Linked DNA regions of Coturnix japonica. The protein of the gene in region 1 interacts with the protein of each later gene in a pairwise test. Links are inferred from orthologs where the notes say so. Each region holds a gene or a part of one and is shown in the gene's direction. Other genes may lie near its edges.

Evidence for each region.
Region 2: the proteins of RIC8A (region 1) and guanine nucleotide-binding protein G(i) subunit alpha-1 interact in binary tests that used the Homo sapiens proteins (3 or more experiments, as listed by UniProt). The link is inferred for Coturnix japonica from reciprocal best matches to the Homo sapiens genes RIC8A and GNAI1.

The regions. Positions count from the first base shown.
Region 1 is NC_029520.1:1,396,339-1,400,834, reverse strand, and holds part of RIC8A (synembryn-A), read left to right. Parts: intron 1-174; coding exon 175-222; intron 223-1,541; coding exon 1,542-2,156; intron 2,157-2,718; coding exon 2,719-2,813; intron 2,814-3,230; coding exon 3,231-3,381; intron 3,382-4,129; coding exon 4,130-4,225; intron 4,226-4,451; coding exon 4,452-4,496.
Region 2 is NC_029516.1:10,240,701-10,244,644, reverse strand, and holds the start of guanine nucleotide-binding protein G(i) subunit alpha-1, read left to right. Parts: upstream 1-1,144; 5' UTR 1,145-1,507; coding exon 1,508-1,625; intron 1,626-3,944. UniProt on the Homo sapiens protein: Guanine nucleotide-binding proteins (G proteins) function as transducers downstream of G protein-coupled receptors (GPCRs) in numerous signaling cascades.

The DNA.
Region 1 (4,496 bases):
ATAGGTTTTTTAACACTCTTTGCCTCTTTGATTCCCTGTGCTGGTAAAGACTTCTTGAGAAGGCTTACTTGTCTTTATAGAGTGCTTTTCAGAGTTGCTTTCCAAGCTTATTCCCTGTTTGGGAAAGGCAGATTTGTGGATTTTTAAACTCATACTTTCTTTTCTGCTCTACAGAAATCTCAATGCTTTACCTTTGATGATGAGGAACGGGAGGAGAGGAAGGTAGGCGTGCTCTTTGGCTTCTTGTTCTTGTTGTCCTGTAGATGGTGGCTGGGGATAAAAATCAGTATTCTTCCAACATTAGCAATCCCTTTGGGTTTGGTGATGCATATGGCTTCAGCAGCATGCATGAGAAGCATGATCCTGTGTGTGTGTGTGTGTGTGTGTGTGTGTGTGTGTAAATGGTGCAGTCTGCTAAGCAAAGATAACAGCAGCATGCGGGTAAGTGCTTCTGCTGTGAGCGAGCTGCAGGATTTGACCAAAGCTGTCTATTAACAAACCCTTTAAGCTGGAATAATCTGGCACTCAGTGGAAAGAAATACCCCTGTCCATTTCCACTCGTGGCATTTCTCTTGTGCTGGGGCAGGCCTTTGCACGGCTGCACTGCAGATATGCTTGGTAGGATCTGCTTTAGGAAAGAACATTTTTCTTCTATCTCTGTTATTCTCCATCTGGACCAGTTTTGTGGTGGGTCGTGTGTGGAAGCAGGGGATTAATGGTGGAGTGACGTGTTGCTATGTGTAGTTACAACCTAGCTGCACTGGGTTGTGTGAGGCTTTACCTTTCGCTCTTGTACTTTTCCATGTTTGCTATCATGTATGTTATTGTTATCCACAAGGGTTATATCTTCAGCTGTGGTAAATCAGTGTTACTGGAGCTGTCAGTCTGTACCTATGAAGGGGTAGTAGGTCTCCAGACAGCACTGAAATTTATGGGAGGTCCTTTTTATTTGAATCTTCTGAGGTCTTTTCCCCTCCTTTCTTACCACATCACACACAATTCTGAACCCATTAAGTTCTTTTTCCCCTCCCACAGCAGTTCTCTGGTGTCAGCCTCAGCAGCCTGTTTGGAGCACCCAAAGCAGAAGCTTCTCTAGTCTTAATGCTCTGGGTGAGGCTGAACCACTGCTGTTGAACTGAGTGCTGCTTCTCAGTGAAGATATAAGGGACTTTTTTGCACTGTTCTCTTAGCTTATTGCAGCTGTCAGGTAATCCATATTAGCCAAAACCATCCTAACCATGGGTGAAGCTAAAATAAGCAGTAGTTCACTCACTCAGCAGCAGCTGCCTGTTCCTATTCTTCACTTAATTCTGACAGCACTCCCCAGCCATTCTTTGTCTCTTGCTGGTTGTCCTTGCTTGACTTGGGTCAGCATCAGGTGCCAGAAGCAAACGCTTTGAGAGCTGCCTGTTAGAAGGCCTGTATCTAGATGATGCTTTGTATCTAGGTGATGCTCCTAGGTGTTACAGCATGCTACCTTGCGTTGGGGCTGCACTGTGAAGTGTCAGCATGTGTGGCATTCTTTGTTTCTAACCACGCAGAAAATGGCCCAGTTGCTGATCAAGTTTCTGGAGAGAGAGCTCCAGCCATCCTGCCAGGTCACGTGCTTGGAAAGCATCCGCATCCTGTCACGGGACAAATACTGCCTTGAGCCTTTCAGCACCGAGGAAGGGCTGAAGACCCTATCCAGGCATGCTGGCATTGATTACTCAGAGGAGCTCATCCGAGAGGTCCCGGACTTGGAGGTCATCCTGGAATCCCTCAAATGCCTCTGCAACATTGTCTTCAGCAGTCCGAGAGCACAGGAGCTGACAGCTGAAGCCCGGCTGGCAGTGGGCCTGACAAAGCGCATCAAACTCTACAACGAGAGGAGCCTTCCTCATGAAGTCAAGTTCTTTGACCTGCGTCTTCTCTTCCTGCTGACAGCACTGAGAGTGGATATCCGGCAGCAGTTAGCCCAGGAGCTCCGGGGCATCAGCCTGATGACAGACACCCTGGAGCTGACTCTTGGTGTCAAGTGGATGGACCCCTATGAGGTTGCCACTGAGGAAGGATTGCTTCCACCTTTGCCTCGGCAAGAGACAGAGCGAGCCATGGAGATCCTGAAAGTGCTCTTCAATATTACTTTTGATTCCAGCAAGAGGGAGGTGGATGAGGTAAGCTCCTCGAGTGTTGCACCACACTACATTTGCTTGTCTACTCTTATGTTGTGTTAGATACTAGCCCCCTTGCAGCCTCTGCTTGCATGTAAGGGTAGCAAGAGACTTGTGTGTGTGGACCTTGTTCTGCAGGGCACTGCCTCTGATGCATTAAGACTTTACAGCATTAAGACCTGTAAGTTGGGCATTTTTCCTTCTTAATGATATTGACTTGTGCAAGTGGGAAAGCAGAACCCCCCCATGTACACATAACTCACTTGTGTGTGTCCTGCTGCCTTTCACCTCTGGACAAAGTCAGAAGGAGGTCTGATATCATGTCTATTTTATCCCTGTGCCCACTCCTGGGCCTCTTCCAGCCCCTGACTTGGTGCTGTAGGGCAATGGGGAAGATATCTGGCAGCAGATGGAGAATCTGGAGGATAGTTGCACATATACACCCTGCTGTCAGTGAGCAAGTTGTTGGAGGGGAGGGATGGGGCTGTGGGTTGTAGAGACAACAGGCTTTGGTTTGTGGAGACCCTTTTCTGATCAAGGTTTCCATTTTCTATTTTGGAACCAGGAAGATGCTGCTTTGTACCGGCACTTGGGTGCACTCCTGCGCCACTGCCTCATGATCTGTGCTGACGGAGAGGACCGGACGGAGGAGTTCCACAGGTCTGTTAGATAACTACATAATGGCCTTCACTGGACACAGACTTGAGGTCTCCCCAACACTGGCCCTGCCTGACAACAGCCATCAGAGTATGAATGAGTGATGCAGCAGGAGACTCTAGAGACCTACTTGGTCCTACTTGGCCTCTGTGTCAAGGTCCATTGTTTTTCTGTTGTCACTGAAGAATTTTTGGACTTCCAGCAAGTTATTCAACTATGAGGGTTGGGGAAGGAAAGCAGTTACACTTGCTCAATTCTAGTGGTATAGGTAGCTTGGGATCCAACCCAAAGAGAGTTTGGGTCTGTTTTCAGAGTCCTCTTGATCCTGGAAGCTAATAATGAACCTTGATTCCTGTATAGTTGATGAGTTTCTGTGAACAAAGATCCTTGACTATGTATTCACCTCTGTTCTTTCTTAAGCCACACAGTTAATCTTTTGGGCAACCTGCCTCTGAAATGTCTGGATGTTCTCCTGACTCCAAAAGTCCGTCCAGGATCACTTGAGTACATGGGTGTCAACATGGATGCAGTTAATATCCTGTTGGATTTCTTAGAACGGCGCCTTGACAGGGTAAGCTGAGAGGCTGCTGTACAGAGCTTTTCACTGCTGGTTTACACAAGCTCACTGCAGGGCACAAGGAAGCTTGCATTCAGCCTGAATTCAGTATAGAAGTGGCAGTTCTAGTTGGTTGGACTAGAACATTTGTGAACTGGGAGGGTTGCTGTGGCACTGTTGCTTTGGCAGGTAGTGAGACTGACAGAGCCAGCAGATGGTTAGCTGTGTGATTCAAATACAGGTGCTCTGTTTCACTCAAGTCAATTATGATTTGTTGGGCAGCTGAATTGGTTTGATACAGCCAAATCTCTTGACTGGTGGCTTGTTATGATGCTGTCCCCACAGTCTGCTGTCAGAAGACTGGCAGTCATAATGTTATTTGTCAAGACCATTCATCTTTCTTTCCTCCTCCTAAGCGCTTGTCCTCCTCTGTTCCATTGCTTTTGGCAGCCTGATTTTGCACTGTTGTTAAGCTAGTGGCCATTTTCATTCTCTGGAGTTATTCCAGAGGGTCTCCAAATTTGACTGCTGCACTTCTCTGCTCTAGATGTTCTGTGTGAGTAGAAACGCTGAAGAGAGGGACACAGAAAGCCTTGCTGTTTGAGGAGTGATGAAACACTGAATTTCCTGTAGCAGAAGCTGTTGTTACGTCTCAGTGCCCCTCTGTTTCCCTGTGGTTCAGCACTGATGGTCTCCACCATGAGCCAGGGAAGTTGAGCTCAGTGTAGCTGATGCATTGCTCATCTTGTGAATGCTTCTGCAGGGACATAAGCTGAAGGAGAGTCTGACCCCTGTGCTGAACCTGCTGACCGAGAGTGCCAGAGTCCATCGCCAGACAAGGAAGTTCCTGAAGGCGAAGGTACATCATGGGTTCAGCTGAAAGTCAAGTGGTGGTGCTCTGAGGAGAGAGGAGAATAGCAAGCTACCTGAATATTGCCATTCTCTAAGGAGACCTCCTCTCTCTCTTAGATTCAAACATACATGAGGTTGTAGCCCATAGTTGTATAATGCACGCACTTCTTTCCCTGCATACCCTGTGGTTGCTGTTCCAGCTCCACTGATTGCTCCTTGCTGTTGCCTTGTAGGTGCTGCCTCCACTGCGGGATGTGAAGAATAGGCCAGAGGTGGGG
Region 2 (3,944 bases), on another chromosome or scaffold:
TCACCTGTGCTGTCAAATGCTCTACTTTTAGAGCCCATTCCGTGAGAAAAATAAGTAACCTTAAAGGCTCACTACAGAAGACAAACCTGAATGTAACATGCTTGTCTTGTGCTTGCATGTGACGTTCTGACTGAAACTTATCCTTCAACTCAGAAAGTTTTGTCTCATACAGGTTCTGTGGTACTGTACTGGGTTTACATGGTGACAAGAAGGAGTCGCAGGGGTCACCCCTGAGCACAAAGCCGAGCACCCTCCCGACATCACATCATATCACACCAGCTGCTCCCAAGGCCTCTGCCGCGGTACGAAGGAGGGGAGGTCGGATGATGGCTGTCAGCAGTGAGGCAGCAGGAGGCGACAAATAGCAGGTGGAGATATTAGCAGCCATAGGCTACCAGATGATCAGGGGGCTGGAGCACCTCCCCTATGAGGACAGGCTGAGGGAGTTGGGTTTGTTCAGCCTGGAGAAGAGAAGGTTGCGGGGTGACCTCATTGCAGCCTTTCAATACCTGACGGGAACTTACTCCCAGGAGGGGAGTAAACGCTTTGAAAGGGCTGACAATAGCAGGACACGGGGAAATGGTTTTAAGTTAAAAGAGGGAAGATTTAGGTTGGATGTTAGGGGGAAGTTCTTCACTAGGAGAGTGGTTAAGCCCTGGAACAGGCTGCCCATGGAGGTTGTGGATGCCCCGTCATTGGAGGTGTTCAAGACCAGGTTGGACGGGGCCCTGGGCAACCTGATCTAGTAAAGGTGTATGTTTGGTGGCCCTGCCAGGCAGGGGGGTTGGAACTACATGATCCTTGAGGTCCCTTCCAACCGGGGTCATTCTGTGATTCTGTGAGACTATGCCTAAGAAAGTCGGTCACCCTACCACAGGCGGCTCTCAGTCTCCGGAACAAACCCTATAGGCATTAGCACAGCCTTCACTGGGCGTTCCCTCCTCAACGCAATGGAACCTCCCGCTAAGAGCTATTTAAATTCAAGCCCTCAGCACCATCCCCGCCCTTACCCCCCGCCCGCCGCCAGGTGTGCGGAGCTGGGCGCTGACGTCACACACACGCACGGCAGCCTGAGGTTCGCTCCGGCCGCTCGATGCTGCGCGCAGGCGCACTGCCGCCCGCCCCGCCCTCCCTCGCGTGCACGCGCACGCCCCCTTTCTCTCCCTCCCGCGGCGTTGTGGGCTGTGCGCGCCGCCGCGAGCAGCGGAGAGACGGGGGTGGTGTACAGCAGAGTCGAGGAAGGGGCAGCGCATCCCCGGGGACGGATCGAGGGAAACATCCCCCTGTTTCGTTGTGGTGTTTTTTTGTACAAATTTGTGGGTTTTTTGTTTTGGTTTGTTTTTTTTTTCTTCTTTTTGCTCCGCTCTTCCCTTTACTTGCGCTTCAGGTGGGGAAGGAGGGAGAAAGAAAGCGGGCGGGCTCTGCTCCCCCCCCTCCTTTTTTACGCCTCTCCGGAGCTCTCCGCTCCCCGCTTCTCCCCGCGGCGAGGTACGCAGCCCCTGCCGAGATGGGCTGCACGCTGAGCGCCGAGGACAAGGCGGCGGTGGAGAGGAGCAAGATGATCGACAGGAACCTGCGAGAGGACGGCGAGAAAGCGGCCAGGGAGGTGAAGCTGCTCCTGCTGGGTAAGGGTGGGCCCCCCCCGGTCTGGCCGAGATGCGGAGCTGTGAGGGCCGAACCGGGGGCGGGGGACCGCGGAGGTCCCCCAGCATCGCTCCCCCGGGACCGGCGGGTGGTGGGGTGGGAAGGCCGCTCGTAGATCCTCGGAATCCGCTCGTGGATCCTTGGGGGAGGAGGGAGGGGGAGCGCAGGTGGGCGCGGCGGGGCTGCGGGCCGGGCCGGGGAGCGGTTCCGAGCTGTTGGGGCTTTGTTTAGATAAGGCCCCGGCTCCCCAAGGGGAGGGAGAGAGATCTTGTACTTTTGATGTGGGTTCTGGGTACTTCGGTTCCGAGGAAGGGCTTAAGGGGATTTCAGGTTGGGGGATGTTTGTTTCGTGTGGAACATCCCCTTCTGAACTGTTGCTGTAAGAGTGAAGTGGGAAAAACATCAAAGCAACGCGAGGCGCCGTCTGACTTCTCGCTTCGTTTTCTTTTGGAAGTTGTTTCTGCTGCCGAACTTTTACAACATAAGGTCAAACCTTGGTGGGGTTATAAAGTGTGTAATACTGGGGATCACTGGAATAGGGTGATGAGGAGCTGCACGGAGAAGCAATGGATTCCCAACCTCAGGATGTGCTCGGGGTGGGATTGGATGGGGCCCTGGGTCCTGATCTGATGAGCATCAGTCCTGCACAAGGCAGGGCATTGGCACTGGATGGCCTTCAAAGTCCCTTCTAACCCAAGCCATTCTGTGGTTCCGTGCTACCAAGTCTTCTTGATTTTACTCCCAAGTTCTTAAAACTGGCAGCTTTGTTCATTTTAAGTGATGTTTGTCTATAAAGATAAATGAAGTAAAATTACTGCTAAAAATTACTATGAAAGAGGAAGAAATCTCTAATTAGTAATGTCTTTGTGCAGCTCTAACTCTACTGTACGTGCTGTGGACAGCTGAATCCTGCAAGGCATATGATGTATTGATGTTACGGGGAGTTTTGTGTTATGCTTTATAGCTGAACTGCTCTGGATCCTTTTAACCCATAATTAAAAAATAATTAAAAATAAATAAATAAACATGGAGTTTCAGTTTTCCTTGTGCTGCTCATCCAGAAGCTACAGTTCCAAGGAAGGTTTCTGTTTATAAAGTAGTACCCAATTTTTTCTTCTCCATATATTTGTTTTCATGGAGTGCTTCCTTAAGCATTCTATTTAGTGCAAATCTTGCTGTAGTAGAACTCTTAATTAATTAACTTCTATCTGTTCCTTGTAAAGCTTGTAGCTTGTAAAATAGCTCCAGACAGGTCCAGGGAACTGAAGCACTTCCTTCTGTGTGTCTGTGAAGAAACGAAACAAGCCTAGTATAGGTAAAGCAAACTTCTGAAAACGTGTGTATAGGCTTAAAGTTCTGCATATGAGGGGAAAAAAAGCTTTTCGGTTTGCTTTCTAGAAAGTGTTAGGCTGTTGGTGTGCTTAGTCCTGTACAAATTCATAAGCCTGGAGTCTGTTGTGTGGAAAGGTTATCCTCTGATCAATAGTAATGCACTGCAGAAAATGTCCTTTTTCAAGAGTCACAGAGTACTGCTCTGTGTGTACTCTGACAAGTCATTAGAAATGGTTTTTCAGAGTTCTGCTGTTCTCTACTGAGCTTTAAATACTACATAGGTAGTAGTTATGCTTTTCCGTGAGTATGGATAAAGTCTTCTATAAAAGTTGCGTTAAACTTGAGAATGAGCTGTTTACAGTAGCTTAATATTCTTGGATACAAATTCATATGATAGTAGCTTTTTATATAAATTCTATCTGATATAGATCAGCTTTTGGGGGAATTGTTTTCTGCTGCAGTCTCCTGAAATCTTAGGATATGAAACTAATCACAGAATCACAGAATGACCCAGGTTGGAAGGGACCTCAAGGATCATGTAGTTCCAACCCCCCTGCCTGGCAGGGCCACCAAACATACACCTTTACTAGATCAGGTTGCCCAGGGCCCCGTCCAACCTGGTCTTGAACAGCTCCAAGGACGGGGCATCCACAACCTCCCTGGGCAGCCTGTTCCAGGGCCTAACCGCTCTCCTAGTGAAGAACTTCCCCCTAACATCCAACCTAATCCAAACTAATGCTCAAATACATGTGTTTTCTCACAACTCAACTCAGTGTAGCGTTTTCCATTCAACTGTTAAAAAGTGAAAATGAACAGATCAGGAACTTTCAGGGCCAGAGCTGAGAGTAAGGCTTTGTGTATACATCTATGGATACATTTATACATTTCAGATCCTAATGGAAGCTTTTCTGTTCAATTTCCTGTGTTAGCTGTCCTAAATGTTGTGTGAATGCTTTATCTGATGGCAA